Linked DNA regions of Callithrix jacchus. The protein of the gene in region 2 interacts with the protein of the main gene of each other region in a pairwise test. Links are inferred from orthologs where the notes say so. Each region holds a gene or a part of one and is shown on either strand. Other genes may lie near its edges.

The links.
Region 1: the proteins of NTAQ1 (region 2) and ASL interact in binary tests that used the Homo sapiens proteins (3 or more experiments, as listed by UniProt). The two-hybrid records come from large-scale screens. The link is inferred for Callithrix jacchus from reciprocal best matches to the Homo sapiens genes NTAQ1 and ASL.
Region 3: the proteins of NTAQ1 (region 2) and PNMA5 interact in binary tests that used the Homo sapiens proteins (3 or more experiments, as listed by UniProt). The two-hybrid records come from large-scale screens. The link is inferred for Callithrix jacchus from reciprocal best matches to the Homo sapiens genes NTAQ1 and PNMA5.
Region 4: the proteins of NTAQ1 (region 2) and PSME3 interact in binary tests that used the Homo sapiens proteins (3 or more experiments, as listed by UniProt). The two-hybrid records come from large-scale screens. The link is inferred for Callithrix jacchus from reciprocal best matches to the Homo sapiens genes NTAQ1 and PSME3.
Region 5: the proteins of NTAQ1 (region 2) and EDARADD interact in binary tests that used the Homo sapiens proteins (3 or more experiments, as listed by UniProt). The two-hybrid records come from large-scale screens. The link is inferred for Callithrix jacchus from reciprocal best matches to the Homo sapiens genes NTAQ1 and EDARADD.
Region 6: the proteins of NTAQ1 (region 2) and NECAB2 interact in binary tests that used the Homo sapiens proteins (3 or more experiments, as listed by UniProt). The two-hybrid records come from large-scale screens. The link is inferred for Callithrix jacchus from reciprocal best matches to the Homo sapiens genes NTAQ1 and NECAB2.
Region 7: the proteins of NTAQ1 (region 2) and MIF interact in binary tests that used the Homo sapiens proteins (3 or more experiments, as listed by UniProt). The two-hybrid records come from large-scale screens. The link is inferred for Callithrix jacchus from reciprocal best matches to the Homo sapiens genes NTAQ1 and MIF.

Annotation. Positions count from the first base shown.
Region 1 is NC_133503.1:3,261,351-3,265,192, reverse strand, and holds part of ASL (argininosuccinate lyase), read right to left. Parts: intron 581-3,842; coding exon 386-580; intron 16-385; coding exon 1-15.
Region 2 is NC_133517.1:73,988,158-73,992,483, forward strand, and holds the start of NTAQ1 (protein N-terminal glutamine amidohydrolase), read right to left. Parts: upstream 2,958-4,326; 5' UTR 2,850-2,957; coding exon 2,767-2,849; intron 1-2,766. UniProt on the Homo sapiens protein: Mediates the side-chain deamidation of N-terminal glutamine residues to glutamate, an important step in N-end rule pathway of protein degradation.
Region 3 is NC_133524.1:149,111,083-149,115,528, reverse strand, and holds the start of PNMA5 (paraneoplastic antigen-like protein 5), read left to right. Parts: upstream 1-1,564; 5' UTR 1,565-1,648; intron 1,649-3,405; 5' UTR 3,406-3,533; intron 3,534-3,976; exon of another isoform or gene 3,977-4,120; intron 4,121-4,217; 5' UTR 4,218-4,279; intron 4,280-4,446.
Region 4 is NC_133506.1:121,061,235-121,065,801, forward strand, and holds the start of PSME3 (proteasome activator complex subunit 3), read right to left. Parts: upstream 2,972-4,567; 5' UTR 2,886-2,971; coding exon 2,811-2,885; intron 2,723-2,810; coding exon 2,690-2,722; intron 2,570-2,689; coding exon 2,507-2,569; intron 2,309-2,506; coding exon 2,204-2,308; intron 64-2,203; coding exon 15-63; intron 1-14. UniProt on the Homo sapiens protein: Subunit of the 11S REG-gamma (also called PA28-gamma) proteasome regulator, a doughnut-shaped homoheptamer which associates with the proteasome. 11S REG-gamma activates the trypsin-like catalytic subunit of the proteasome but inhibits the chymotrypsin-like and postglutamyl-preferring (PGPH) subunits.
Region 5 is NC_133520.1:48,942,552-48,947,005, forward strand, and holds the start of EDARADD (ectodysplasin-A receptor-associated adapter protein), read right to left. Parts: upstream 2,968-4,454; 5' UTR 2,809-2,967; coding exon 2,751-2,808; intron 1,841-2,750; exon of another isoform or gene 1,646-1,840; coding exon of another isoform or gene 1,615-1,645; intron 1-1,614. UniProt on the Homo sapiens protein: Adapter protein that interacts with EDAR DEATH domain and couples the receptor to EDA signaling pathway during morphogenesis of ectodermal organs. Mediates the activation of NF-kappa-B.
Region 6 is NC_133521.1:41,622,008-41,626,568, reverse strand, and holds the start of NECAB2 (N-terminal EF-hand calcium-binding protein 2), read right to left. Parts: upstream 2,974-4,561; 5' UTR 2,959-2,973; coding exon 2,752-2,958; intron 1-2,751. UniProt on the Homo sapiens protein: May act as a signaling scaffold protein that senses intracellular calcium.
Region 7 is NC_133502.1:192,628,069-192,631,217, forward strand, and holds MIF (macrophage migration inhibitory factor), read right to left. Parts: upstream 1,615-3,149; 5' UTR 1,522-1,614; coding exon 1,414-1,521; intron 1,226-1,413; coding exon 1,053-1,225; intron 937-1,052; coding exon 870-936; 3' UTR 748-869; downstream 1-747.

The DNA.
Region 1 (3,842 bases), on a different chromosome or scaffold from region 2:
CCACTCCTCAGCCACCTAGAGCAGGTAGCAGCAATGCCAGGGGTCAGGTGAGCAGGTATCAGCAGCCAAGACAGCCCCTGCCCTGGTCCCACCCGATCCCTCATGACTGACTGTGCCTGTCTAGGAGCTGAGTCCTGGAAGCCCACCCTGGGAGGGGGCATCTCGGGCCTAGCACACCTTCTCCCTTGAGCCGTGTGGGCCACAGAGGTCATTAAAGGATGGAGAGAGGTGGTCATCAAGGCACACAGTTAAACAGCACTTGAGTACATAATTAGTTCAGTGTGAAACTGCAGACGGGCAACGCTGCACTATTTGCTCAGGGACTTGGTGGGAGCCTGGGGTCACAGGGAGGGGCCTCGGGTGGGGCTCGGGCCGCGGTGAGTACCTTGTCTAGGCCATGGAGTATCTGGTCCATCTCGGCCGTGGTGAGGAGCCCTGCCTTCTCCAGGCCCCTGCTGTAGGCTTTGCTGCCTTGAATATCCACCTCCCACAGCTGCCGGTCGTAGGTGATGGATGCGTTGAACTTCTCCATGATGGGGTCCACTGCGCCCACAAATCGGCCACCCCACAGCTTCCCACTCTGGCCAGGAAAGAAAGCAGGAACAATGAGTCTCTTCTCCACCCTCCAGAACAGTACCTCTTGCAAAGAGTCCTCAGGAAACGTATCAAGCCTGATGGTAGCGGGGGCATCAGATCATTCTAACTGGGCAGACAAGGAGGCTGAGACCTTCCCAGAGTCACCCTGGGAGCGAGCATGGGAATGTGGCTGGACACCGAAGTTTGGGTTCTTTTTTTTTTTTTTTAGACAGAGTCTTGCTCTGTCGGCCAGGCTGAAATGCACTGGCTTGACCTCGGCTCACTGCAACCTCTGCCTCCTGGGTTCAAGAGATTTTCCTGCCTCAGCCTCCTGAGTAGCTAGGACTACAGGTGCCCACCAGCACACCCAGATGATTTTTGTATTATTAGTAGAGACGGGGTTTCACCGTGTTGGTCAGGCTGGTGATCCTTGAATGATCCTCCTGTCTCGCCTCCCAAAGAGCTGGGATTACATGCATGAGCCACTGTATCTGGCCTTGAAGTTGGGGTTTCTTTCCCACCACATGGCACCACTCCAAGGAGATGGTGGCAGGGCTTGAGGCACCCCTGGGACCACAGTAGCTTCTCGAACCTTTCCTGCGACTGACCAAGGTGCCAGGTGCCATCCTAATTGCTGACACAACCCTGTGGGGTAGGCACCAATACAATTCCACTATGGACAGGGGGAAACTGAGGCACAGAGAGGCATGCAGCCTGCCCTCACTCAGGGTGGGTGAGCCAGGGCTGCAGCCCAGCAGTCTGAAGTTAGAACACATGCTCTTCACCCCTATTCCACCGGGGCCTCTGGGCTTGACTCTGGTGTCCATCAAGCATGTACCTTGCAACTCTCCCTCACAGCTTGGAGCCAGACTAAGATCCCAATTCCCACCACTCCCTTGTCTCTGAAGAGCACCCTGACACCCTCCAGTGGGTGACCCCTTATTTCCCAGGAGCGAAGGGCAGAGGGATGATATGTAGACATCTATGTTTTATTCTTTTTTTGAGATGGAGTCTCACTCTGTTGCCCAGGCTGGAGTGCAGTGGCGCAATCTCGGCTCACTGCAACCTCCACTTCCCGGGTTCAAGCCGATTGTCCTGCCTCAGACTCCCAAGTAGCTGGGATTACAGGCACCTGCCACCATATATGACTGATTTTTGTGTTTTTGGTGGAGACGGGGTTTCACTATGTTGGCCAGGCTGGTCTTAAACCCCTGACCTCAGGTGATCCACCTGCCCTAGCCTCCCAATGTGCTGGGATTATAGGCATGAGCCACTGTGCCTGGCCAGTTTTGTTCTTTAAACATTTTTTTTTTAATTCTTTTTTAGAGACAGGGTCTCACTCTTGTTACCCAGGCTGGAGTGCAGTGGCACCATCATAGCTCACTGCAGCCTCAAACTCCTGGGTTCAACCAATCCTCCCTCCTCAGCTTCCCCAGTAGTTAGGACTAGAGGCATGCGCCACCACACCCAGATTAAAGTTTTTTTTTTAATTTTGTAGAGTCAAGGCCGGGCGCGGTGGCTCACGCCTATAATCCCAGCACTTTGGGAGGCCGAGGTGGGTGGATCACGAGGTCAAGAGATTGAGACCATCCTCGTTAACAAGGTGAAACCCCATCTCTACTAAAAAATATAAAAATTAGCTGGGCATGGTGGCACGTGCCTGTAGTCCCAGCTACTCAGGAGGCTGAGGCAGGAGAATTGCCTGAACCCAGGAGGCGGAGGTTGCGGTGAGCCGAGATCACACCATTGCACTCCAGCCTGGGCAACAAGAGTGAAACTCCGTCTCAAAAAAAAAAAAATAATTTTTGTAGAGTCAGGGTCTCACTGTGTCGCCCAGGCTAGTCTTGAACTCCTGGGCTCAAGCAATCCTCCAGCTTCAGCTTCCCAAAGTGCTGGGATTACAGGCATGAGCCAAGGTGCTGGCCACATCTATGTTTTGAAAAAGGGCAGAGGCCAGGGCATGGGACAGATTTGGGAGGGCATAGAACACCTGGGGAGCAGCCCTAGTGCCCAGAGTGCCAAGGACTGGGAGGAAGGATGGGGTAGAGGTGGGCAGGTCACTGCACTGGCATCCTTTGTGAGGAAGGGCATCTAAGGTGGCCAATGGGGACATATGTTTTCCTCTGTCCCCCTGCAATGCACCAGACCTCTGTCAATCACCTGGCCTGGGGCCTATTGTTAAACCTCAGGGTTGGGAGGCCCAGGTGGGTGGATCACTTGAGGTCAGGAGTTCAAGACCAGCTTGGCCAACGTAGTGAAACCCCAGCTGTACTAAAAATACAAGAATTAGCCAGGCGAGGTGGCGGGCAGCTGTAGTCTCAGCTACTTGGGAGTCTGAAGCAGGAGAATCGCTTAATCCTGGAGGCAGAGTTTGCAGTGAGCAGAGATGATGCCATTGACTGCAGCCTGGGTGACAGAGGAAGACTCTCAAAAATAATAGTAATAATAAGTTAAGGATATAGTACCTATCTAATAGCCTTGTTGTGAGCATTCAATCAGATAACACTTGCAAACTGCACACATAACACGATGCCTGGCAATCAGGAAGGACTTGGGAAATGTCAGCTGTTATTAGCGGAGGGCTGGCAGGGGACAGGATGTGCTTCAGCGCCACTCCTGATTCCTGTGTGCACCCCAGAGACCTCTACAGTGCTCTGGTCCTGAGCTGTGAGCTGACCTCTCCATGCCCAACCGCCCTGGCTGCCAAAGGACTCTGCCCTGCAGAGGCAGCCTCTGCCCCCACCAGTCTTTTGAGCTGGTCCTGCTCCTTACCCCACCAAGCCTAGATCTCCAGCAAAGTGCCACATGGGCCCTGGTCCTGATCACTGGGGCCAGCCAGTCATAATTGGAAGCAGCCTGCCCCTCAGCCGGGAGCCTGGCACCACCTCCCCCAGGGGGTTCCTGGGCCACCCTGCCTGGGATGTTAGTTAAAACAACAACTACTTAATAAGCAGAGCCTCAGCCAAACCAATTAGTGCCAACCTACAGGAGGGCCTGGGGCAAGCTGAGGTCACCTGGAGTGCTGGGCTGGTCGGAGGGCAAACCACTCTGCTCTAGGACCAGGCTCCTTCCCTTACTGGCAGGCAGAACAGGACCCCATGGGGAGATCAGAGTGAGGGGCCTCCCCTTGGGCACTGAGGAGAGGGGAGGCCCAGTGTGGTAGCAGAAGGTGCTACTCCAAGCCAGGACACATCTGGGCCAGAATGGTCTCTTCAGGGCCAGGGGATGAGGCACTGAGTTGGGCTGGGTTGAATGAGCAACAGTCA
Region 2 (4,326 bases):
ACAAAACTCTCTGTGTCTCCATTCTCTTCCAAAATAAAATAACCTTCACCTCAGTCTGAAACCCCACAAGCTTCAGCAGAATAATTTCCAAAGGTTTTCAGAGCTCCACCCTTCCTCACTCCCAAGCAGAGACCTGCAGAGCAAATCCAACCAACAGTCACCAAGCACAGGAAAGGCACTACTGACCCAGAAGTAAACAGGAGGCATTCATTTCAAGTTAAAAAACCTGCAGGATGGCCGGGCACCGTGGCTCACACCTGTAAACCCAGCACTTTGGATGGGTGGATCACCTGAGATTGGGAGTTCAAGACCAGCCCAGCCAACGTGGTGGAACCCCGTCTCTACTAAAAATACAAAAATTATCTGGGCGTGGTGGTGGGCACCTGTAGTCCCAGCTACTGGGGAGGCTAAGGCAGAAAAATGGCTTGAGCTGGAGAGGCGGAGGTTGCAGTGAGCCAAGGTTGCGCCACTGCACTGCAGCATGGGTGATAGACTGAGACTGTCTTAAAACACACACACACAGCTGCAGGAAGTAGTGTGGTGTCCTACCTGATGTGTTCAGACAGGGTAGAGAACTGGTTCTCAGCAAGAGGTGATTTTGCCCCCCAACCCCTACAGGACACTTAGCAATGTCTGGAGACATCTTCAGTTGTCACATCTAGGGCTGGGGTGGTAACAGCATCTAGTGGGTAGGGGCCAGGGATGTTGCTACACATCCTGCAATACACAGGACAGCCCCCACAGCAAAGAATTTTCATGCTCAAAATGTCACTAGAGCCAAGGCTGAGAAACCCTGTGGTAGAGTGGTCATCTCTTACCATTCTTCTACAAGACTGCTTTACTTCAGTACTCCAATTGTACCAGCCTCTGAGCTGTTCCTATCATACTCACAGCAGGATTCCTTCTCAGAGCCTTTGTACCTGCTATCCTCCCTGCTTAAATAACCATTCTTCAAAAGTTGCAAAGCTCTCACCCTCTTTCTTCAGATCTCTGTTCAAGTTATCACCTGATAACAATGTCTTCTCAAAATATCGTAATAGAAAATAAGTCACCATGCTTTATCTTATTTTTCTCACAGCACTTACCACCACCCAAGCATTGCTTACTCATTTTTGTCGTTTTTTGTTTAGTTTCGAGATGGAGTCTCACTCTGCTGCCCTGGATAGAAGGCAGTGGCACTGGCTCACTGGAACCTCCACCTCCTGGATTCAAGCAATTCTCCTGCCTCAGCCTCCCAAGTAGCTGGGATTACCAGCACCCACCACCCTGCCCAGCTAATTTTTGTATTTTTAGTAGAGGCAGGGTTTTTGCTTGTTGGCCAGGCTGGTCTCAAACTCCTGGCCTCAAGTGATCCACCCACCTCTGCCTCCCAAAGTGCTGGGATTACAAGCCTAAGCAACCACACCTGGCCTTGTCTGCTTTTCTCTCATCAAAATATAACAAGAACTTCATGAGGGAATTTGTCGATTTTGTTCACTGCTATAGTCCCAGTGCCCAGAAGTGTACCACATATTACCAACTGCCTAACAAACATTTATTGAAAGAACGAATAAAACAATGAATGGACATTAGGGAGGAGAACTAAAAGGATTTAGAAGAGAGGCAGGGCAGAAAAACAGTGCAACAGTTAAGACACATGAACTTCAGAATCACAAAGAGGTTCCAGTTTCAGCACCACCACTTGCTAGATGTATGATCTGGGGGCACACAACAGCCTCTCTGTGACTCAGGCTTTTTATTAGTAAAATGAAGATAATGATAATAAAAGAATTTACCTCCTGCACATCGATGGAAGCACCTGGCACTGAGCCTGACATGCAATCAGGGCCAAACAAATGCTAAGCTCTTGGTGGCATTGGTTTAGTGACCAGCAGAAAGGGGAGGAGTAATTTTAGAGAGCCCTGAGGTTTCCTGTGCAAGGACTGGAAGCTGGGGAAGAAGCCATTACTCAGGCAAGAGCAGGTATCGGAATCAAAAAGTACCAAGGCAGGGGTGGTGCTTCAGCTGCAGAGGTGGCCTAGGACAGAAATGCAATGCGTGGACTCCAGGGCCAGACTCTGCCTGTAAATTCCCACTCCTTCATTCACAAGCTACGTGGCCCTGCGCAAATTACTTGTAGCCCTCTGTGCTTCAGTGCTCTCATCTTTTAAAATGAGGATAACAATACCTACCTCTTAGGGTGACTGTGATGCTCAGTGATTTATGTTACCCAAACTACCCAGAATAATGCGTGGCCTAAAGCAAGCGCTGTGTAAATGTAACCATTATTATAATGACAACACGGTTAAGATCATGGTTTCTGACGTCAGGGAGCCTGAACTGGATTCAGGGTTATTAGCTGGGTGACCTTGGCAAGTTACACCAAACTCTCTGTGCCTCCATTCTCTTCCAAAATTAAAATAGCCTTCACCTAAGTCCTAAACCCCACAAGCTTCAGCAGAGTAACTTCCAAAGGTTTTCAGAGCTCCACCCCTGCCTTGCCCCCAAGCAGAGATCTGCAGAGCAAATCCAACCCACAAGCACCAAGCACAGGAAATGCACTAACGACCCTATGATTCCGGAGAATTCCCAACCCCATCCAATAGCCCACGCTCTACTCAAGAGACGAGAGCTGCCATTCCTGCTCCCTCCTCCCGCAGAAACTGTAGAACCCGCCGGTCGAGGCCTGGAGCGCCCGCGAGAAGGGGCCGGGAAGAGGAAAGCCACGGTTGCGACTCGCGGCCCAGGAGCCGGGGAAACCCGGAGGCTGCGCCCGCGTCTCCTCACCAGTAGCAGCTGCTGTAGACACAGGCGTCCCGCGGGGGGCTGGCCGGCTGGTACTGGGCGGCAGCGGGGCCATTACCCTCCATGGCCGGCTAGCTCAGCCAGGGCCCCAGCCGCAGGAAGACCGACTGGACCTGACGTAGCAAAGGAAGGGGCTGGCGTGCAGCGGCCCGCACGCGCACCCAGGGCGGGATGAGCGGAGCGCGGGGCAGCCGGGGCAGTTTCTGGGTGGCGGGGCCAGGAGCGCGGTGGGGCGTGGCCAGCAGCCTGAGTTCCCGGCGCGGGAATCCCGGGACGAAGTGGGCGGAGCTCGGGGCGAGCGGCGCAGGTTCCTGGGAGGGTGGAGCCCGAGCTAAATGGGCGGGTCGGGGGTGGGGTGAGTGGCGCGAGCTCCCAGTGGACGGAGCCCCGAACAAGGACGACATCGTGGTTCCGGGTAGGCGGAGCCCGGATGGTGGGTGGAGCCTGGGGTGGGGAGGGGCGGGGCCGCGTGTTGTGGTGGGCGGAGTCAGGGGCGGGGTACCGGTGAGGTTCGGGAGAAGTGGGGTCTCTGGCGACGACCTGAGGAGGAGCTAGGCTTGGGCTTGAGTTGGGCCCTGAATAGCGCTTCGCTGAGTCTCCCCGGAGAGGCTCTTCCAACCTGGGATGCGCTTCTGCGCTGTGGAGGAACCAGGTGAGATACTGAAATAACAGAGGTTTGGGTATGAAAATCCACAATTCAGCACTCAGCCTGGAGTCCGCGGGAGCCCAGAGAAGACGTGGGGCGTGAAGGGTAATTCCAAATATGACCTCATCGAGGACGCTTTCCGAAAAGGATAGCACCCCAAATCTCACTCTATTGTAACTTAATTTTTTTAATTGGAAGACCTATATCTACTGGCTCGAAAAGGTATATTAATTCCCTGATACAGTAAATTTTAGAAGTTTAAAGAGTTCATATGGTATCCTTTATGTGTTAATCATATATTTGTTCAATTACTGGCAGTCTGGAAGAAAAGACATCATATTGTTAAAATAGTGTTTATCTCTGGTGAATGAATGGTATTAATATCAGGGACTTTAAGTTTCAAGGACTTTCACTTTACACTTTAGTCTTCTGAATTGTTCATATTTGCAATGAGCATAGATAGCTAATGGGGGTACACTTCTCATTATAAAAACTGAGATGTTACATTGATTTTAGCTATCCACAGTCGGATTCTCCAGTCTCAGGAGTCTCAAAGCTGATAAATCCTAAAGACCGAGCATAGTTCCTGTCAGTTACCAATTTTATTGCCTCTCAGCTCTTAATACAAACTTCCACATAGCCTCTATGCTAAATAACAACTCTGGTAAACGTTTCTCCTTTAAAATGAGTGGGAAACCCTGCAAGCTAGAAGGGATTGGGGCCCTATCTTTAGTCTCTTCAAACAAAATAATTAGCCAAGAATTTTGTATCCAGCAAAACTAAGCATCATATATGATGGAAAGATACAGTCTTTTCCAGACAAATGCTGAGATAATTTGCCACTACCAAGCCACCACTACAAGAACTGCTAAAAGAAGCTCTAAATCTTGAAAAAA
Region 3 (4,446 bases), on a different chromosome or scaffold from region 2:
ACACATATATTCTCTCACCACAGGTCCATAACTTCTGGCCCTGAAGCGTAATCATAGCCTTCAGACCATTGCTACACACAGCCTGGGCAGGGGTAGGCAGCAAGTCACCCGGCTTTCAGCAGAATCAGTCCTGCACTAGGCCTCCTCACTGAGAACTTGCATTTTTTAAAGATTGCCAGGGTATTTGTGTGCATCTTGAAGTAGGCCGTGAAATCAGGAGAATAATGGGAGAATAGAGTATTTTCAGTCATCTGGCTCTAAGTAAGCAGAAAAAAAAAATTATGGCCTTGTGAAATGCAGGCCGTAGCTGTATTTTTTACCTTCCTACCCCAGAACGCAGTCCAATAAAAAATACACAGGTGCTATGAGTTTCAGGTAGTAAGTAGGCTCACACCCCCTATTCATTATACGTGGCCTATATGCTGCACCCAGTGATGTGAACCAGGTCCTTCAGACACTGCTTGGGACACCACAGCTCCCCTCCAGTGGAAAAGAACCACAATGGCTGCTGGGACACATGGTAAATGAAGAGCCTGGGTGCCACCGTCGTCTAGCTAGTAAACTACAGGCGTGGGAGGTAGTCTGCAATGGAAGTGGCACCCAGTTGTTTTTATTGTCTGTTCTAAAAGGTGCGGGCTGGCACAGGCTCGCACGGGTGGTAGTGGGGTGGTGAGGACCCGTCGCATGGGAAGTAGGAGGGTTTGTGTCATAGGTGAGGAACTGTGAGTGGGCTGTGTGGAGTTACAGTGGGGGAGGGGGCGGTCATCACCCGATAGCCTCTTCCCGCGTCAGGTTGAAAAGGGGTGTGTGACTTTCAGGTAGTACACACGCTCACTTGGCCTATTTGTTACACATGGCTTATATGTTGTACTCGGTGATTTGCACCTGGCCCTTCACACACGGCTTGGTACGGCATAGCTCCCCTCCCACGGGAAAGAAACAGAATGACTGCTGGGTGACGTGGCAAGTGGGGAGAATAGCTGCCGCCATCGTCCAGTCAGTAAACTATAGACTTCCGAGCTAGTATGCAATGGAAGTAGTTCCCAACTGTTTGTATTGTATTTCCTCAAAGGTGAAGGTTGGCGCAGGCCGGCACAGTCTGGCAAGGGTTGGGGTGGGGTAAGGAATTCTTGATAGGGAAGTAGGAAGGTTTATGTGGCCACTGCACAAATGTGAAAGAGCCGTGTGAAGTTTTGCTAGGGTGGGGGTCATCACCCAAAAACCTCTTCCCGCCACAGCCTTTAACAGGATCTGTGATGTTGAGGTAGTACGTGTAGTCATGTGGCCTATTGGGTACATGTGGCGTGTATGAAGAGACTGGTGCTACCGTTGTCCAGCCAGTAAAGTACAGGCATCTAGTCTGTAATGGAAATGGCTGCCAGCTGTTTGTATTGTATGTTCTCAAAAGTGCGGGCTCGAACTGGTGGGGTGGGGGTGAGGAGTTGCTTGGCGCGGGAAATAGAATGCTTTATGTCACTAGTGCGCAACTGTGAGTGGGCCGTGTGCACTTCCGCTGGGCGGGGAGGCGTTACCAGACAACCTCTTCCTGTCATAGCCTGGAGGCGCATTCGGCACAGAGGCGGCAGCCGCCTTAGACGTGTGGTGGTCGCGCTGCGCGATCACTCCAGCTTACAGGCCTTTCTGACAGGTACGGAGCTGGGCCTGGTCATACAAAGCAACCTAGATTAGGGGGTATATCGCCAATAACTTGCTATTTTCCACAGGGCCTAGGAGTTGCTATCCATAGTTTTCCAGGCAGAACTTCTGGGAGACCTTAGGCTGGGCAGGCCGAGACGGGTGTATCACTTTAGGTGAGGAGGTATAGCCTACCCAAGATGGTGAAACTCCGTCTCTACTAAAAATACCAAAATTAGCCGGGCATAGTGTTGGGGACCTGTAATTCCATTTATTCAGGACAGTGACGCAGGAGAATAGGTTGAACCCTGGAGGCGGAGGTTATGCTGAGCCGAAATCATGCCTGCTGCACTCCAGCGTGGACAGCAAAGGGAGACTATTCGTCTCAAAAAGAAACAAATTAAAAAATACTTTCTGGAGGCCTGTTCCACCCTCAACTCTTGACCCTTGTCCGTGCAGAAGAGCGGCTTCGGATCTTCTCTCCTAGATCCTGCCGCCTTCCACTGGTGCTGGTAGTTGGTTTATGTAGATAACAGGGTAGAGATGGAGGGAAACGGGAACGGACGTACTGGATTTCGGTACAGGGGGTTAGACTTGTATGGCGTAAGTAGTTGGGCTTCGTGAGTGGTCACTCATTGCGGTACGGATTTGACTCTGGGTGCGGGCAGGATTGAGTTACGACTTAGACATGGGTGGGGGCAGGGTTGAGGCACGAGTTCGACTGTGGGTGCCTGCAGGATTGAGGTAGGAGTTAGACATTGGGGCACGGATGATGCACGACTTTGACTGCGTGTGGGGGCAGGGTTGAGGTAGGAGTTAGACATGGGTGGGGGGAGGGTTGAGGCACGAGTTCGACTGTGCGTGGGGGCAGGGCTGAGAAAGGAGTTAGACATGTGTGGGGGAGGTTTGATGCACGAGTTCGACTGCCAGTGGGGGCAGAGTTGAGGCACGAGTTAGACGTCGGTGGGGGCAGGGTTGAGGCACGAGTTCGACTGTGGTTGGGGGCAGGGTTGAGGTAGGAGTTAGACATGTGTGGGGGAGGTTTGATGCACGAGTTCGACTGCGAGTGGGGGCAGGCTGGAGGCACGAGTTGTACGTCGGTGGGGGCAGGGTTGAGGCACGAGTTCCACTGTGGGTGGGGGCAGGGTTGAGGTAGGAGTTAGACATGGGTGGGGGGAGGGTTGAGGCACGAGTTCAACTGTGAGTGGGGGCAGGGTTGAGGTAACAGACGTGGGTGGGGGCAGGGTTGAAGCACGAGTTAGACGTGGGTGGGGAAATGGGTTGGATTTCGTGCTGGTTGGGATTGCGGTAGAGGTGGATCTTAGGTGTACGCACGTGGACCTTGGCAACGTGTGGTGGTTATGGTGAGGTAGCTAAGCGATGCAACATGGCTGCAATGCCGTAGCTTCCGATCAACATGGCTGCAGGGGCGGAGCTTCGGACAACATGGCTGCAGGGGCGGAGCTTTGGAGCGAGTAGAGTTTGCAGTGGGGGTGGGACAACAACCTTATCCTACGATCCCTTCTGTCCTATCAGCAGCCCCCACCAGCCCCCACCCTCCACCTCCCTCACCATTCCTTCCCATACTCCCTCTTTCCGCACCCCTCCCCCTTCCTCCCTCCTCCTCCCTCTGCCAGTTGAGCAGTTTCTTCTGTGGCTGCGCCAGAGTACTACTGGACACCTTTGCAGAATCACAACTGCCGTGGCCTGAGCAGAGACGTGTGTGTGGGACACAATCACAACAAAATACCTCTGCTTTGCCTTGGACAGATCCAGAGAAGCAAGACCCGTCACTGCTAACTCAGTAGCTGCCTAACTGGACAGAGCTGAAGAGCGCAGCAAGTGTGAAGTGGCTGTTATTGCAGCTTCCACGCTGCTAGCAGAGCCAGCCCAGCAAGGTGAGCAGCTGTGAGGTGGGCTCTGGTGGGAGGGACTCTGGAACCTTGGCAAAGAGTGAGGAGACAGGACTCACTGCAGGGTTCGCAAACTCTGCAGGATAGGGCCATCGCTAGGGCAAGAGTTGTTCGTTTCCTGCAGTCTGGCAGTAGGGACCTTATCTGCGTCCCTTTTCTGCCCGATTTCACCTTCCACACAATTTAAACCATGAACTCCTGTCCTTCTTTGAGCACTCACTCCTCATGCCTACCTCCCCTTTCCTCACCTACCCTCCTTGTTGCTAGGATGCTGTATTGGATGAAGACCGATGACATCACCTGTTGCTTCTCAAGGGCCTTAGCCTCACCACATGACACTACCATACAATAGCAACCCATGGTCCATGGTATGCTCTGTATCCATGGCAACACTGCAGTTTCTCACACAATCTCCACACCCACCACTCATTTCATTGCGCAGAGCTCCGGCCATCTTTCTCCTCTGTCAGGCATTTCCTGAGAAACACGGCCACTCCACCTCTCCTGCAGCCAGCCTTCACTTCCATTCCAGCAAGGAGGGTGCCAGGTGACCTGAGCCCACATAGCCCTGAGTGAGCAGTGGGGCAGTCTCCTGACTTTTGCCTGGAGGGCTTGTCAGTGTCCTCAGGTGTCAGGCCCTGCCTCCTGACGTTGGCCTTTTCACTACAGGCACCTGCAGCACACCCGGCTGAGTCCTCTGGACATCGAGGAGGAACCCACAGCAGGAGGAGGTCAGCAGGGAGTGTGGTGAGGTGGGGGGATCTTTGCCTGGGGAGACCCACCACACTCTGTTCTCCACACAATGACTTGAGCCTTGGGTAGCAGGGACTCCATCCCTGCTGGGGGTGGGGGCAGAGGGAGGGGCACTTGGGAGTATACGTTGGGGTGGGCATTAGCA
Region 4 (4,567 bases), on a different chromosome or scaffold from region 2:
AGGGTGGCTCTTACCTTGGAAGGCTTCTTCACACTCATCCAACCTTCGCTTCTTATAAGTGGGCTATGGATACAAAGAGGCAGGGATGAGCCTGCTTTTGACACCCACATTTCCATCACAAGATACCCTTCAAACAAGTTTAATCCCTTCCTCAGCCTCACAGCTTGTGTTATTAATTTCTGTACAATTTCCTAAGTACATATAAAGCTTTAAGAAAAGGTTCTCGGAGGCTGGGCACAGTGGCTCACATGTGAAATCCCAGCTCCTTGGGAGGCCCAGGTGGGTGGATGACCTGAGGTAAGGAGTTCAAGACCAGCCTAGTCAATATGGTGAAATCCTATCTCTACTAAAAATATGAAAAATTAGCCAGGTGTGGTGGCAGGCGCCTGTAATCCCAGCTACTTGGGAGGCCGAGGCCGGAAAATCGCTTGAACCTGGGAGGCAGAGGTTGCAGTGAGCTGAGATCACACCACTGTCTTCTAGCCTGGGTGACAAGAGCAAAACTCTTCTCAAAAAAGAAAAAAAAGAAAAAGAAAAGATTCTTGGGCTGGGCGCCGTGGCTCATGCCTGTAATCCCAGCACTTTGGGAGGCCGAGGCATGTGGATTACTTGAAACAAGCCCAGGCAATGTAGGGAAACCCCATCTCCACAAAAAATACTAGCTGGACATGATGGAACATGCACCTGCAGGCCCAGTTACCTGAGAGGCTGAGGTAGGAGGATGGCTTGAGCCCAAGAGTTTGAGGCTGCAGTGAGCCGAGATTGTGCCACTGCACTCCAGCCTAGGTAACAGAGTGAGACTCTGTCCCCCCTCAAAAAAAGAAAGAAAAGGTTCTTGCCACAAAGCAAATTATGCTCTAGTTGGGAAGACCAATCTTTCCAGAAATACAATACATTAAGTATTATAAAGAATAGGAAAAAAGAACCAATCAAAGCAGGGAGGATAATTAAGGGAATATGTACAAATCTGCTGGTTCCACAAAGGAACACATTATTCAGTCAACAAACATGTATTTAGCAACTGCCATAGATGAGGATCAACACTAGGCACTGGGAATACAGAGAATAAGATAGTTCCTTCCAGCTGGACCACGGTGGCTCATGCCTGTAATCCCAGCACTTTGGGAGGCCAAGGTGGGCGGATCACTTGAGGTCAGGAGTTCGATACCAGTCTGGCCAACATGGTGAAACCCTGTCACCACTAAAAATAAAAAAATTAACCAGGCATGTTGGTGTATACCTGTAACCCCACCTACGCAGGAGGCTGAGGCGGGAGAATCACTTGAACCTCGGAGGCAGAGGTTTCAGTAGGTAGGTCAAGATCGTACCACTGTACTCTAGCCTAGGCAACAGAGTGAGACTCTGTCTCAAAAAAAAAAAAAGAAGATAGATCCTGCCTTCCAGATATACAAGTTCCATCAGTGAGGCAGTACTACAGACAAGAATACAGTATCATCAGTGTTCTAACAGCACGTGAACATGTGACTGGTAAGGACTAGGTGTTAAAAATGTAGAGCAAAGACGGTGATTGCAGTTATATAGCAAGAACAACTCTGTATCCCGTAATACTACTCAGGACATAGAAAAAAGGTAAGTAAAGTCTTCTTCAGAGCCATGGGAAAATCCAGGTAACCTGATAAAGCTAGTTTTCTTTTATTTGAAACTCACTCTAACACTGAAAATAGCATTAGCATATTGACTTCATGTCATAAATGAAACTCAGGGTCTAAAAGGAATATACGAGAGGCCCCGTGCAGTGGTTCACGCCTGTAATCCCAACTCTGGGAGGCCAAGGTAGGCTGATTGCTTGAGCTTAGGAGTTGAGACCAGCCTGGACATCATGGTGAAACCCCGTCTCTACAAAAAATACAAAAATCAGCTGGGCATGGTGGCGTACTCCTGTAGTCCCAGCTACTTGGGGGGCTGAGGAAAGAAAATTGCTTGAGTCCGGGAGGTCAAGGCTGCAGTGAGCAGTGCTTGAGCTGCCACAGTCCAGCCCAGGCAAAAAAAAAGTGACACTCTTTCTCAAAAATAAATAAATAAATAAGAAATAAAAGGAGTACACTAGAGTCAGCATGTCTATAACAGAGTCCTAGTTCCCAGGTCCAAATCCCACTGTTGCCTCTGTACATGTTGAACTGACAAGGAAACAGGACAGAGGACCGACTGCTCAAGAACACAAAGATAAACATAGGACACTTACACCATCCAGTCCATCATGGCTATTGGTGAGAAGAATGGGGTCAGGGACTGGGAGATTCATGTCAGAGTGGATCTGAGTTAGGTCATGGATGTTTAAGATTGGTTCCTGAAAGACACCCACCCCAAAACATTAATCTTTTCAAGTTGAACAAAGAAGTATTTGATTTGAAGGGCAAGAAATCAAAGTGCTTTTACAGTTTAAAAAAATAAAAAGAAGAAGATTCAACACACAATTTGTCCCGCTTGACAGTAATACCAGGGCCAAAAAAATTGGGGAATCTGAGGAAAGAAAAGGGTCTCTCACCTTCAGAAAACTATCAAGTTCTAATAACTTCTTTGGGAAAAAATTTGCCACCAAGTCTTCTGCCTAAAGAGGAGGGAAAATACAGCTGAATTAGTATCTGTGGGAAGGTCTCTCTATATAGATATCTCCTCTTTGGGAAACTCTCAATTAACCAACACCCATTTTTCTATTTATTTCACTCACCTCACTTGTGATCCGCTCCCTGAAAGAATCAACCTAAAATTAACAAAGAGAGCAATTGAGTACCTGGGGACAGAGGTAAGAGCAGGATAGAGAATCCCAAATCCAACTGTCTTTCCCTCACCTTGTAACTGTAATATGAAGCTGAGAGGCCCCCAGACTGCAAATACTTTATTTTTTTGAGGACCCATTTTTCCATCTCAGGAGAAGGACGCAGGGCTTGAGGGCAGCACCTGCCTGTCTCCTCTCCTCTCCCTCCCACCCTCCCTGTGTCTGAAGCTGTCTGAATTTCATAAGCAGACAAAAGACAGGTAGTTAGGGGAGATGTGAGCTCACAAACGTGCCAATCCCCACCCAGACTTGGCCTATGATACAAGGCAGACCACCAAGGGCAGGGGCAGTGCCCAGGGACGTTGCTGGGCTGGGGGATTTCCAGCTGTCACCGGCCTAAAGCCCTGAGTCCAACACGTGTCCGCGGAGGTGACCCCGGGACTCTTCATCATCAGACACGGTACAGAAAGCCATCCTATATTTTCTTCTCCCGCGAAGCCGACCCCAGGAGCTGGGGGCTGGGCTGAGCCGAGCGGAAGCTCAGAGCTGGTATCCCCAGGGAGACAAAGACGCCATGGGGAGTAGGAAGCCGGTCAGACTACTGGGGGATCAAAGTGAGGGGCAAAAAGGCCGGACTGGCGCCGCTACCTTGAGCTTCACTTCCTGATCCACCTTCAGCAACGAGGCCATGGCCGGGCCGGGCCGTGTCCGATCCGCGGGACACCGGAGGCGCTGTGGACTCCGGGGAGGGGGCCAGAGGTACCTGCGGAATCTCGGCTGACCTCGGGACCCGGCCGCCCTCGCTGGCTCACTCACTGCTCGCTCGTTCCCTCCCTCCGTGCCGCCCGCCCGCCCGCCGGCAGCCTGCTGCCTGGTCGCACTCTCGCTCGCCCTCCCGGCTTTCGCCGCTCACGCCGGAAATTGCGTCACAGCCAATCGCCGAGACTTCTGCGAGGTTGTGCACGTGCCCTGCGCAGCCGCGATGAGACTCGGCTTTGGACGCTCCGGGCGGGGTTCACAGGGTCCGGGCCAAGAGTCGGATAGGGGTGAAGTAAAAGGGAGAGCGGTGGGTGATGGTGCACTGAGAACTGAGCCTCCGAGAGACTCGGAAATGGTGTGACCCTCTGTTGGCCCGGAACTCGCCTTCACCGAATGGAATTTCTCAGCCGCTGCAATCCCGAGGACAACGCCGTCGCGCCCCAGTGACGTAGGCTCGGAGAAGTCGGGGACCCGGGTACTGGGTTCTCGGGGTGTAGTCCCTGATTCCCGCTGCCTCTGCCGAGCCTCAAGTGTTTAGGCTAGAGCGGAAACGACAAGTGCCGTTTTATCAAGCTTTCCTGATGCATTTCTCTTCCACTGATTCTAGCAAGCTTCCAGACCTCAAAGATACTATCTAATGGGCAAATTGACGGCCAGAGTAGGGTAGGGCTTGTCCAAGGCGTTTCCAGTACATTCTGAGCCAGAACCCGTATCTCCAAACTTCTACGGCAATGCTGTATCTATTTTTCTAATGGAAGCTTGAGACTATACATCTTCATTCACCCATTCATTCGACCTCTCGAGATTGGATATTTCGTTCAATAAAATGGGCCAGGGCACTGTCTCAGAACCTAGAAATATGTGAGTCACACGTAGACTAGAATCTTCTAGCAGCCACGATTAAAAAGTAAAAGAAACAATTGAACATTTTAGTTATGTATTTAACCCAATTTATCCAAGTATTTCAACAAGTATTCAACATTAAAAAAATCCAGATCTTATGCATTCTTTTCTCATACCAAGTCTTCAAAATCCAGTGCATATTTTATACGTAACTGCACATCGAAATAA
Region 5 (4,454 bases), on a different chromosome or scaffold from region 2:
TCAGCCTCCCAAGTAGCTGGGACTGGTATGCACTGCCACACTCGGCTATTTTTTTTTTTATTTTTTGTAGACTCAGGGTCTCACTATGTTGCCAAGGTTAACCTCAAACTCCTGGCCTGAAGCAATCCTCTTGCCTCAGCCTCCCAAAGCGCTGGCATTACAGGTCTGAGCCACTGCACCCAGCCACTGAGCTTTTTATGCACTGCGGTCACTGCTTAGCTATTTCCCAGCCCCCATCTTGCCTGGTACTGTCGATTTAGATTTTACATTTTATCTCTATGCAGTGTATCTCTCTCAAGGTCTTTTGTGAATCCACCCCCAGCCCTACAATCATCATTTAATGAGATCTGAGACCATGATTAGTCAGATCTAGCCTCAAACACCTCTTGGCACCTTGTCAATTCAGTTCTCAGAAGAGGAGGTGGATGCTAGGGTGAGTGGAGTGGCACAGGGCAGTAGAAGGATTTCTTTGTTTGTTTCCCCCTCTATTTTTTCAAACAATAGGTATGGGGATAGGGAAGAATATCTAGACAATGTATTTATTTTCCACATCTAATTGATACAATGTTTACCAATCCCCACTTAAAGAAGAAGGTAGATCTTTCTTTGAAAGTCTCCAAGAAACTCCCCCAAACCCAGCCATCACAATGCCAACTTGGCTGTTGGGTGTAGACTCTTGACCACCTTCAGACGCACTGTCTCCTTCTAACCGCTGAAGCCATAATATAAGGATGGAACATTCAAACTCCGCCGCTGCCCAAGCTCAAGAAATGAAATAGGAAACGCGTTTATGTAAACGGTTATATCAGGTTCTGCGTAACTCTCTTCAGTGTTTCCAGCCTCAACAAAACCACGAAAAGCCCCAGTGTACTCTGGGAGACAGATCATTCATTCATTGTTGTGTTCAAGAAACACGCATGGAGGTCACCGCATAGGTTATAGGCGAGCAGAGAGAACTCCAGGAAAGCAAGGTGTGGGACGGATTTTAGATTCACGTGAAAAATCTCCACTCTGACCTCGGGTACCAACACATATTTTAAAATAAAGACAGAGTAGAGGTCATTCTAACCACAGATGGGATCTCACAGGTGGGATCGGCCTCTCGCTTCTGCGGATACTATCTCATGAAATAGTTCCCAGGGCCAATGTTTAGACAAACAAAACCATTTCATCAAAGCGCAATGGGCAAGAGGGAGAGGAGAAATGAGAAGGCATGTGAGCCGGGAGAAAGAAAAAGCCCGAGAAGAGACAACGAAATCCACCCCACTGCGCCCATCTCTGCCAGAGGTTTGCGGGACGTGTCTCAACCTGGCATCTCGAGTCCAGAACAAAAGCAACCCGCGCTGCGGCGCGGGCAGGGGGAGGGCGCGCGGTGGGTGACGCGGCGCAGGGGCCGTGGGGAGCGCAGGAGGGGCGGTCAGCAGCCGCTCGCGGACCTGGGCTGGGGGCCCCGCGCGACTCCGGGTTTGGCGCCTGGATCGGGGTGGTCGCCCGGCGGCCCTCAAGGGTCACCGAGGCTCGGCCTCGATGGCCCTGCAGCTGCTACAAGCGCCTCCCGAGCTCCCGACCCGCGGCGCCCGCTCCAGGTGTGGGCACGGCTCTGTGTCCCTTTACCTGCGCCCAGAGGTTCCTCCGGTGAAGCCATGGGGGCGGGTTAGGGGCAAACAAGCGTCCGAACGGGGCTGGCCGGCCTTCGGGGCGCGGGAGGACAGTGGGACCTCGGGGATGGACAGTCCTGCGGCTCCTACGCGCCTGGAGCAAACCTCCGCGGCTCCGCGCTCCCCGGCCTTCCTCCGCCTTCTCCTCCTCCCTCCTTCTTCTTCTGCTCGGCTTCTTCCACGAGCTCACTTCCTGCTTTGGCAATTAGCAAAGCCCCTTCGCCGGGCGTCCCTCGGTACCTCCCTCCAGAGGCGCGGGGCGGGAGCCGGAGTGCCGTGACCCGGGGCTGGGAGGCCAGGAGGGGCCCCGGGTGTCCCCGGCGTCCCCAATGCCCGGAGCGCGCTCCCTGCCTGGTGCCCACGTTCCCCTGGCCGGCTCCTAGCGGGGGCCTCACACGACTGCCGCCCGGGACAGACCGCGAGCGAAGGACTGGCCTTAAGAAACGGCTGCAGACGCGGGTCGCTTTCCTGGCGCCCTAATCAGGCCCTCAGCGGAGGCACCAGAACTCCCCTTACACAGGCCTGGGCTGAGATGCCCGCCGGCGATCTGATATTTGAACAATTTCCCGATCTTTAAGCAGTCTCTGCCGCTGCATGATGGCACACGCTGGTACTTTCTATTTTGATTTTTCTTTGGCATTAGACCTCCAGGGTGAGTGCCGCACAAAACGAGTGAAAAGAAGTTGCCCGATTCACACGCACACCCTCTCTAGAAGAAACAGCTTCGGGTTCTCTCGGAAATGCTGACTTCAAATATTTAAAATAATACGTTCAATACCCAGGACTTAAGTGAGAACACGTTGGAATTGGTTATGAAGAATATATTTAAGATTGCTATATTTTAACTAAAGCTATCATCAACCTTGAAGCTATTATAGGAAGGCTACGGGCATTTTAAACTTAGTAGGAATCTTTGAAGAGCTCTAAATAATTTTTCTCTGTCTTCGCACATAAGAACGGAAAGATAAAAGTTGGGTGGAAAGAGATAATAGTATTTAGTGTCCAATATATCAGAAAATTATCATAAATAAGCAACCTCTGGCTAAAAACCCAGCTCTTAGAAACGTAGGAAAACAACAAATGTCTACATACACTCTTGGTGACCAGGTTTAGTGCCTCTCCCCATCTGTTTAGTCGTCCTGAGGCCCATGGAATCTTGAATCTGGCTTCTTATTCTCTGGAGTTTGCCATGGAAGAAACAAGAGGTTCAGAGAAGATGCTCGCTGGGTATCTAACCGGAGTCAAACCTTCTAGATGAAAAGCTCTCCGTGAGAATTTGTGAGTGGGGGGATAAACTTCCTCTTGGTCTGCCTTCTGATAGGAAGGGAAATTTTTTTTAAGCATATCTTATCTTACAATCAATTTGGAGGTTTGGTTTGTGGTTCTTTCTGTAATTCTCATGAAGATGGAATTATTCTGACGTTGACTGTCAGGAAACACCAGTTGAGTGATCTTGTTAGCAGCCCAACCTCAAGGATTGCTCTAAAGCTGATTTGCTTTTTGAAACTCTGAACTGTAATTCTTTTTATCATTCCCATTCTGCCTTATATCAAATAGAAAATGAATGGTAGAAAGATATTTTAAGGTTTTTTTTTTTTAAGGAAGATTGACTAGTTATGTAGATTACTATTCCCTTTCATTTTCATTTCCTCTTTCCTATGAATTGCAATGATCCTCATCATTACCTTTATTTTTCCTATGTGCTTTTCGAAGTATAACGTATGACGCAAATGGGTGCTATTGTTGCTTCTGCACTTTACAAAAAAAGTAATTTAAAAACGATTCTCATTCACCAGAGTTCCTATATAATCAATTGCTGTCACAATATGTCCTTTGACTTTTATTCCTCTTGCTGTTCAAGAGGGTTTTAAACCACTGTTGAAAATGGACATTTTTGGGCCAGGTGTGGTGATTCACACCTGTAATCCCAGCACTTTGGGAGACCAAGGTAGGTGGATCATTTAAGGTCAGGAGTTGAAGACCAGCCTGGCCAACATGATGAAACCCCGCTTCCACTTAAAATACAAAAAAATTAGCCAGGTATGATGGTGTCTGCCTGTAATCCCAGCTAATCAGGAAGCTGAGGCAGCAGAATCACTTGAACCCTGGAGGCAGAGGTTGCAGTGAGCTGAGATCACCCCATTGCACTCCAGCCGGGGTGACAGAGCAAGACTCTGTCTCAAAAAAAAAAAAAAAAATAGACATTTTTAACATTTCCTGATAATAGCCAAACACTCAATCTCACAGTCATGTGAAAATTTTCATGTTTCCATAACTTCACTGCTCTTTGAGTGACCTCCAATCTTCCTTTTTCAATACACGGGATAGTGCATTTGGTAATCATGGAGTGAAATATGCTGGATTTGACTGATGGGACTACCACGTGAGGTTGTGTTACATTAAGCAAGAAACGATGAGTCTGTAAGTGTCTGCAGGATTGTGAGAATTCACTGAAATAATGTTTATGTGAAAATACTGGCTGGGCAGGGCAGCTCACACCTGTAATTCCAGCAGTTTCAAAGGCCAAGGTGGCAGGATAGCTTAAGGCCAGGAGTTCAAGACCAGCCTGTACAACATTTTGAGACCCAGTCTCTACAAAATAATTTAAAAATTAGCTGGATTCCCGCACTTTGGGAGGCCAAGGTGGGTGGATCTCTTGAAGTCAGGAGTTCAAGACCAGCCTGGCCAACATGGCAAAACCCTGTCTCTACTAAAAATACAAAAAACTAGCAGGCACCTGTAATCCCAGCTACATGGGAGGCTTGAGCCCCAGAGGCAGAGGTTGCAGTGAGCTGA
Region 6 (4,561 bases), on a different chromosome or scaffold from region 2:
AGTGGCTGCCAGCACCACCAGCCTGCCCCCGGCTACGCTGACAGACACACACAGGCCCACCACCAACCCTGCAGGTGGACATACATAGTCATCAGTCCACCTGGCCTCACCTACCGCTAAACAAACGCACAGCCGCACACAATCACACTCTAAATTAGCGTCCCAGGGAGCGCCACAACTTTTACCACCGCAGTCCTTCCAGAACCCCTGGTGTGTTTCCAGGGAGGTTGGGTTAAGTGCAACGGAGGTGTTTGCAAGGCCTGGTGCCAACGACAGCCACAGGCAGGATGGGGTTAATTTTGGGGTGCAGGAGGAGAAAACAGGATGCTAGGAGCTCAGGAAAGCAGCCTCCATGAGGTTCTGGCTGCATTAGTCAGGGATAGGTGGGGGCAGCCCCAACGCTGGCCTGAACCTAGAGACCAGGTGTCTCGTCTTCCTGCCTTTCCAGTGACATCCAAATCCCTGGGACAGAGGTACTCCCTTCCCTCAAGGTCAGGCTGGCAGGTGCCGCTTGCCAGGCTGAGACTCTAAAGCAACATTCAGCCCCTTCCAACACCATCCCCTGGAGCGCTTTCCAAACCTCCTCAGCCAAGGCCACACCCCAGGAGGCTTGAATCAGCTGCTGTAAGGCCAGCTCTGATTTCAGCATTTTTCAAGCTTCCCAGGCACACTCAGCACTGACACCTGTGCGCTAAGACCTTGCTATTCACAGAAGCTTGTTTGCAATGGGAGGTGTCCCACCTACTCTGTGCTGTAGTGCACTCAGACCCTTCACTGTAACCAACACGTTAAAGCCTCAGAAGGATCCCAGGGTCTGGAGTGGCCCCACCCCACTCTTACCGGCTTGTTTTAGCAAGGAGGGTGCTGAGATCCAGGGAGGGGGAGCAACACGTGCACACTTCCCTAGACACCAGGGAGGGCTGCTGGGGCCAGGTCAGCCACAGAGGAGGAGGAGGTAATACTCACTGACCCTTCCCCACTTGGTCCTTGCCTTGGGGAAAAGGACAGGAGCCGCCGCCCTCCATCCCTCCAAGCAACGAGACAGGGGCACCCTTGGCCATTTCCAGGTGCCTGGGTGGTGTGGGACTGAAGCACAGCTCCGGAGGACCTCTCAAACATCACCTCTCCTCCTGGATAAACCTCAGACCCCCAGGTCCTCCTCAAAGCTCCAGCCTGGGCACCCGACACCCTGTTCCTGACTGGGCAAGGTCCCTCAAAGCTGGGGTCCCTATCTAGGTATCCCAGATCCCCCCCCTGAGGCCAGGAACCAGGCAGGTGCCAACTCTGGGCAGGAACGCTGAACACATGAGTGACAAGGCAGGGCTAACACCTGGTAACATTAGCCAGCTGCAGGAGTCTACACGAGCACCCCACCCCCCGCCCCATACCGGCTCATCACTCCAAGTGGCAGGTGAGGAGAGGGAGGCTCAGAGCCCCACCAAAGGGCTTCCCTGAAGGGCAGCCTGGGGTGGCAGGGCTCAGCCCAGGACTTTCAGTGAGAGCTCTGCTGAGGTCCTGGCGCAGGGAGTGGCTGCACAGGTGTGCGTGCCTAAGCGAGCGTGTGAGTGAGTGTGTGTGTGTGTGTGTGTGTGTGTGCCTGTGAGTGTGGCACTCTAGAGCTCCCCGAGCCCTGTCCAGCCCTTCCAGTCCAGACCCCACAGAGGGTTCCAGGAGCAGGGAAGAGGAGAGAGGAAGGGAGAGAATCCCCCCCCACAGGGATCTGCGATACACGTGCGTGTACACACTCACACACACCTCCAACTCTCCCAGAAACCCACCACATAGCCAGAGGCAGCCCCCAGCCCCACCCTGGAAGGACCCTGGCTGAAACACCCAGTCCACATCCCCAGACGCCTCCTCCACCTCCTCCCAGCGCTCTCTGCCTGGAGAAGTCTTCCTCCCCCGACCCACTCCCTGAAGATTCCTCCCTCCCGGGTGGGGCGAGGGGGAGGGTGACATTGGCTTCCCAGAGGTAGGTGGTTTGGGTCCCAGGGGAGTTAGAAGGGGTGAGGGGTGAGTGGTAAATGAAGAGGACCCAGCTCTCGGTAGGGGAGAGGGTGTGGGGAAGGGAACAGAGGACAGGAGGGGGCTTGGAATGGAAGGGCGGGGTGGGGAAGCCAGAGGAGTCCCGGCTCAGGGCTGATAGGCGATGGCTCTGACAGTGTGTAAAGGAGACAGAAGACAGAAGGTGGGGAGGGGGCTTCACTTGTAAAGTGGCAGTGGCTGGGCAAAGGGTCTTTGGGCGTGAGATGAGGTGGAAGGCTCAAGGTCTAGAGCGAAGCCAGGCAGGGGTTGTTGGGGGCCTCAGAACTAAGTATCTCTCCCGACAGGATCCGAGATGGAGAGGAGGAGGGGGCTGGCGACCGCGAGGGGCTCGTGTCCCGCAGGGTAAAGGGTGGGGGGTTGGCTGGGACAAAACTCGGGGGACGATGGCCGGGTCCGGGGGCTCACGGATCCCCACTGTGGGCGGGCAGGGACCCCGAGGAGCCCGGGTGGAGGAACGGAGGAGGGGGTCTCTCGGTCCAGGGAGAGGACTGGGCTGGAGACCGGCCCGGACATGGCGGGGCTGGGGGCTCCCGCTCTGGGACGCGGAGGGGCGGGGAGGGGCCGGGGGTCTCCTGTCCCGGTAGGGGGGCCTCGCGGGTCCCTACGGAGGCGAGCTAGGGCAGCGTCGGGGTCCGCCCGAGGGGCGGAGGGGGCTCCGGATCCCGGCAGAGGCCACGGCGGGGGTCCCGGCCGGCGCGTACTCACGTCCAGGATGACGGCGGTGCCCCCGCGCGGCGAGGCGGGGCCGGGGCCCGGGTCCGCCGGGTCCGCGGGGGCCAGCGGCGCCCGGGGCTCGCCCATCCTGGCGCCCACCCAGCGCAGCAGCCCGCCCAGCGCTCGGCCCTGCGGCGGCGGCTCCCGGAGCAGCCTGTGCGCGCCGGCCCTGCACAGGCGCGCCGCCCGCTCGCACATCGCGCCGCGCCCGCCGCCGCCCGGAAGCCCGCCGACCCCGCCTGGCCGCGGCCCGCCCCCGCACGACCCCCTCCCCGCGCGGCCCCGCCCTCCCTCCCAATGCCCGCGCGGCCGCGGACACCGCGGGGACTGGCCGGCGCCTGGGGGGGCGGGCCGGCCGGACCCTGAGCCACGTGCCCGCTCCCCGCCGCCCCCACCCCCGCCGGACGGGCACCCGGCCTGGGGACTCCCCGATGGGGCGCGGGGCGCGGGGCGCGGGGCACGGCCACAGAAGGAGCTGCCCGGAGGCGAGGGGAAGTTGAGGCCTGGGGGCGGGGCGGCTCCCCTGGGATCTGGTCCCCAAAAGTCTCCTGCTGCCCCCGCTTCTAAAGTCCCCCCCCTCCCACTCGCGGCGCTCTGCAGGGGCCTGAGCGCGGGTGTCCGGCGAGCCCAGAGCGCCCTCTGCCGGCTCCAGCCCTGGGAGCGGCGCCCACGCACCGCGGCTCCGTCACACCCTCCCGGGCCTACCCTTACCTCCAGCGGGGCGCATGCCCCCTCAGGCTGTCCCCTTCATTTCACAACTCCCAGAACCAGTCTTCACCCCAGAACATCTTTCCTTCACACTCCACCCACCCATCCATCTATGCACCCACCCACCCTCCCACATTCCCTCCAATCCATCCATCTATCCTCCGCCTCCCGTCTGTCTGTCCATGCACCCACCCTCCCAACCATCCACCCCCCATCATCCTCCCATCCATCCATCCACCCACCCACCACCCTCCCATCCATTCACCCACCTGTCCACTCACCCTCCCATCCATCCATCCACCCATCCACCCATGCTTTTATCCTCCCTTCCTCCCTCCCATCCATTCACCACCCGTCCACTCACCCTCCCATCCATCCATCCATCCATCCATCCATCCATCCATCCACTCACCCACCCATCCTGCCTCCCATCCATCCACCCACCTATCTTCCCATCCATCCATCCATCCATCCATCCATTTAAAAGATGCGTTAAGGAAAACCCACTAGGTGTCAGGCACGTGCCCAAGTGCTCAGTTCCAGCAATGGGCAAAACAGATGGTGTCCTTGGCCTCCTGGAGCTTACATCCAAATGGGCAGAGTCAAACACTGAAGTGATTCCACAAATAAATGAACAATTAAAACTGAACTGCTGGCCGGGTGTGGTGGCTCATGCCTGTAATCCCAGCACTTTGGGAAGCCAAGAGGGCAGATTACTTGAGTTCAGGAGTTCAAGACCAGCCTGGCCAACATGATGAACCCGCATCTCTCTTAAAAATACAGTAGCTAGCTGGGCGAGGTGGGGACACCTGCAATCTCAGCTACTTGGGAGGCTGAGGCAGGAGAACTGTTTGAACCCAGGAGGCAGAGGTTGCAATAAACGGAGATTGCACCGTTGCACTCCAGCCTGGACGATGGAATGAGAGTCTGTCTCCAAAAAATAAAAAAATAGAAAACTAAAACTGAATTGTTATGAAAAGGAAACACCTTGGACTATGAGAGGAGTGTTTGCTCCGGTGGCAGTGGAGGGGTTTATGTCAGAAACAGCTTCCAAGACGAAGTGATTCTCATGCTGAGAGATTCCAAGGAAGAG
Region 7 (3,149 bases), on a different chromosome or scaffold from region 2:
ATGAAGAGATGAGGAGAAATTGGCACCCTGCCCTGGGCTGCAGACTCAGTACCTAAGGCACTTTGCTGCCTGAGGTAGATTCACGACTCTGGGCGGGAACCCACAGTTGAATCCCTTCTACCTAGGGGTCAGCACATGGGGTGCCAGAGGGGAGGCTGGAAAAGGGGGAGGAGGAGTTGGAGTTGGGAAGGAGTCTGAGGTCCTAGGCCTAGACCTTTCTTTCAGCCCCACCTTCCTCAGCCTTCTTGGTGGGCAAAAGGTAGCCAGAGGACAGAAAGATTCTCCCACCCAGAGCCACTCACTGCAAACAGCTGTTTTAGGGAATGTAAGGAGAGTCTGCAGGCAGGTGGGTGGGGAGGTGCAGTTATTTGTTATAAGGTTCTGTCCATCCCAAACCCTGAGCCTAGGTTCTGTTCCCCTCAGCCACCCAAGCCTCACCACAACAGTTCCCTGAGGAAATCAGGCGTGGGGTTTCCACTGGGACCATTCGTGTTTGCCAGACACATCTGTAAAGCCTTCCGTTACGTTTGGGCGCCGCTGCACACGCCTGTAATCCTGGCACTTTGGGAGGCGGAGGTGAGTGGAGTCTGACTACCCTGCTTCTCTCAAGACCTGAGTGGAGGCACAGGCCACCTGCTCTCTCCTCCCCTCCCACGGCATTCCTTGGATTAATCGTGCCTCTGAGGAAGTGAGATGTCCCTGTCATGCCTCCATGAGTGAATATGTAGCCACCGTAACAGCAGAAACTTTCTCTAACCGTTTATTTCTCCCCACCAGAAGGTGGAGGCGGGCGGGCCTAGAATACAGGGTGAGGTGGGTTCCCGGGTTGGGCCAGTGCAGACAGCGCGGGGAGAGGCGGGGCGCGGCTCTTAGGCGAAGGTCGAGTTGTTCCAGCCCACGTTTGAGGCGTTCATGTCGTAATAGTTGATGTAGACCCTGCAGGGGGAGGAGGCGAGACTCAGCGGGCGGCTCAGTCCCCGGCCCGGCACCACCGCCGCCACCCCCACCACCACTGGCCCCTCGCGCCGCGGCCCCTCCGCGCCCCAGCATACCTGTCCGGGCTGATGCGCAGGCGCTCGGCCAGCAGGCCACACAGCAACTTGCTGTAGGAGCGGTTCTGCGCGCCGCCAATCTTGCCTATGCTGTGCAGGCTGCAGAGCGCGCACGGATCGCTGGAACCGCCAAAGGCCATGAGCTGGTCCGGGACCACGTGCACTGCGATGTACTGCGGAGGAGGGGCGCGGTCAGCGAGCCTCAGCTACCTCGCCAGGCCTCTGGCGTCCACTTTGGGCCCTAGCCACCTCTTCCTCCCGCCCTGTCCCGCAGCCCCCTTCGGGATTCGCCTCCCCAGCCCCCAGTGCAGGACCCCCTCGTGCAGTGGGCACCCCCTCTTCCCGTACCCTCCCAACTAACCTGGGGCGGCTTGCCGGTGGCCTGCGCCAGCTGTTGGGTGAGCTCGGAGAGGAACCCGTCCGGCACAGAAGCCCGGGGCACGTTGGTGTTTACGATGAACATCGGCATGATGGCAGAGAGACCAGGAGATTCGCGCAGGGACACAGACGCAAGCACCGCTGCCGCGCTGAGCTACGTGCCTGAATTCTCGGATACGGTTCCGCCTTTTGGGACGTCACCGCCGGCGCCAGGCCTCCTCCCAGCGAAGCTGCGGCTCCGCCCCGAGTGGAGACGTCACCGCCTACCTCGGCTCCGCCCCGAGTGGAGACGTCACCGCCTGCCTCAGCTCCGCCCTGCGGGACCTAACCGTGAGCGACTCCGACGGCTCTTCCAGCGACTACCGCTAGGCCGGGCTCATCGTCCCTAGCGGATCTCCACGTGGCGGCTCGAAATCGGCTTCTCCCAGCCTGGCCTCTGGTCTTTCTTAGTACTTTTGTTGTATCCGACTGAGCACAAAAAGTCAACACCAAGACAAAAGTATGCCAAATTGCAGGGTTTATTGCCGGCGACCACGGAGGACTCACGTCTCTCCAACCCTTGGCAGAGAAAGAAGGGTGACAAGATCTTTTTATACCCGCAAAACCACCTTGGGAGTGGGGGTGAGGAGTGGAGATGGGAATGACAGCTGTCAATCACCTCCTAGGCTTAGACTAGGGTGAGGGGGCTCTGGACATTCCAAGGGCCAGGGGACTTTTGTCATTCCGATTGCCGCTTAAGAGGTTTACAGAAGTTAAGATAAACATTAGTTTATACATTATTTGGACAGGTGTGGGGTCCACAGATTTTTCAGTTGCTTGGCGCCAGGATGGAATTATCTGGGGGTGCTTACTCTGGTTAGTACCGGTAAACAGAGGCCAGCAATTCTGGCAGTTACAGATAAGAGAAAGTATGCAACTTTACCTCTCTTTACATTTTGCAAAGTAAACTTAGCAGTTTACAGAGGCCATGGCTAGCAGTCATTGTGAGGAGAATGGAAACAGTTTTGTCCTTTATAAACTGGCAGTGTACAAGTTCTAACTCTAGGCTAGCTATATCACACTTTCAATAAGTCACCGATGTTAGTCGCCAGGAGGCGCTGTGCCAGGGGTGGGGATGCGGCGGTGAACCCGGAAGATGGCCCCTTCCCCTTCCCCTTCCAGAGATGAAGCCCAGTTCATTCCACTGCACGCCCTGAGCCCTGTACGTCCTGAATCTTCCGGCCACACGTCCCCAAGGGCTCCAGTCCCGCACGCCTGAGCTTGTGTGTTTGAGATGGGGAGGGGTAGTCATTGCTGCAGGTGAGAGGAGAGCTGCCCCTGCGAGTCACCATTCAGGGAACTTAACCTGAACTCCTGCTCTTCAAAGAGGGTGAGGATGCTGGGAGTCACCAAAGGGAGGGAAGTGAGGTCCAGACCAGGTTCAGTGTGGGTAACGATAACAAATAACTGAATCCAACATTAAAATTACACAGTGAAAAAGTGACCAAATTTTGGTAATAATGTTGAATAATGATGCAGCTATAGATCAGAAAGAGACCTGTATGTACTGATAAGCAATGACCACCAAATTATATTTTATATGGGAAAGCCAGTCGGAACAACACACAAAGCGGAATTACATTATGTAAAAATATGGGCATGTCTTTCGGTAAGTGCATGTGGATGAGTGGGCTGGGAGCTGGTGGCGACACATTTCATTCTATAGACCTAAGCAGTATT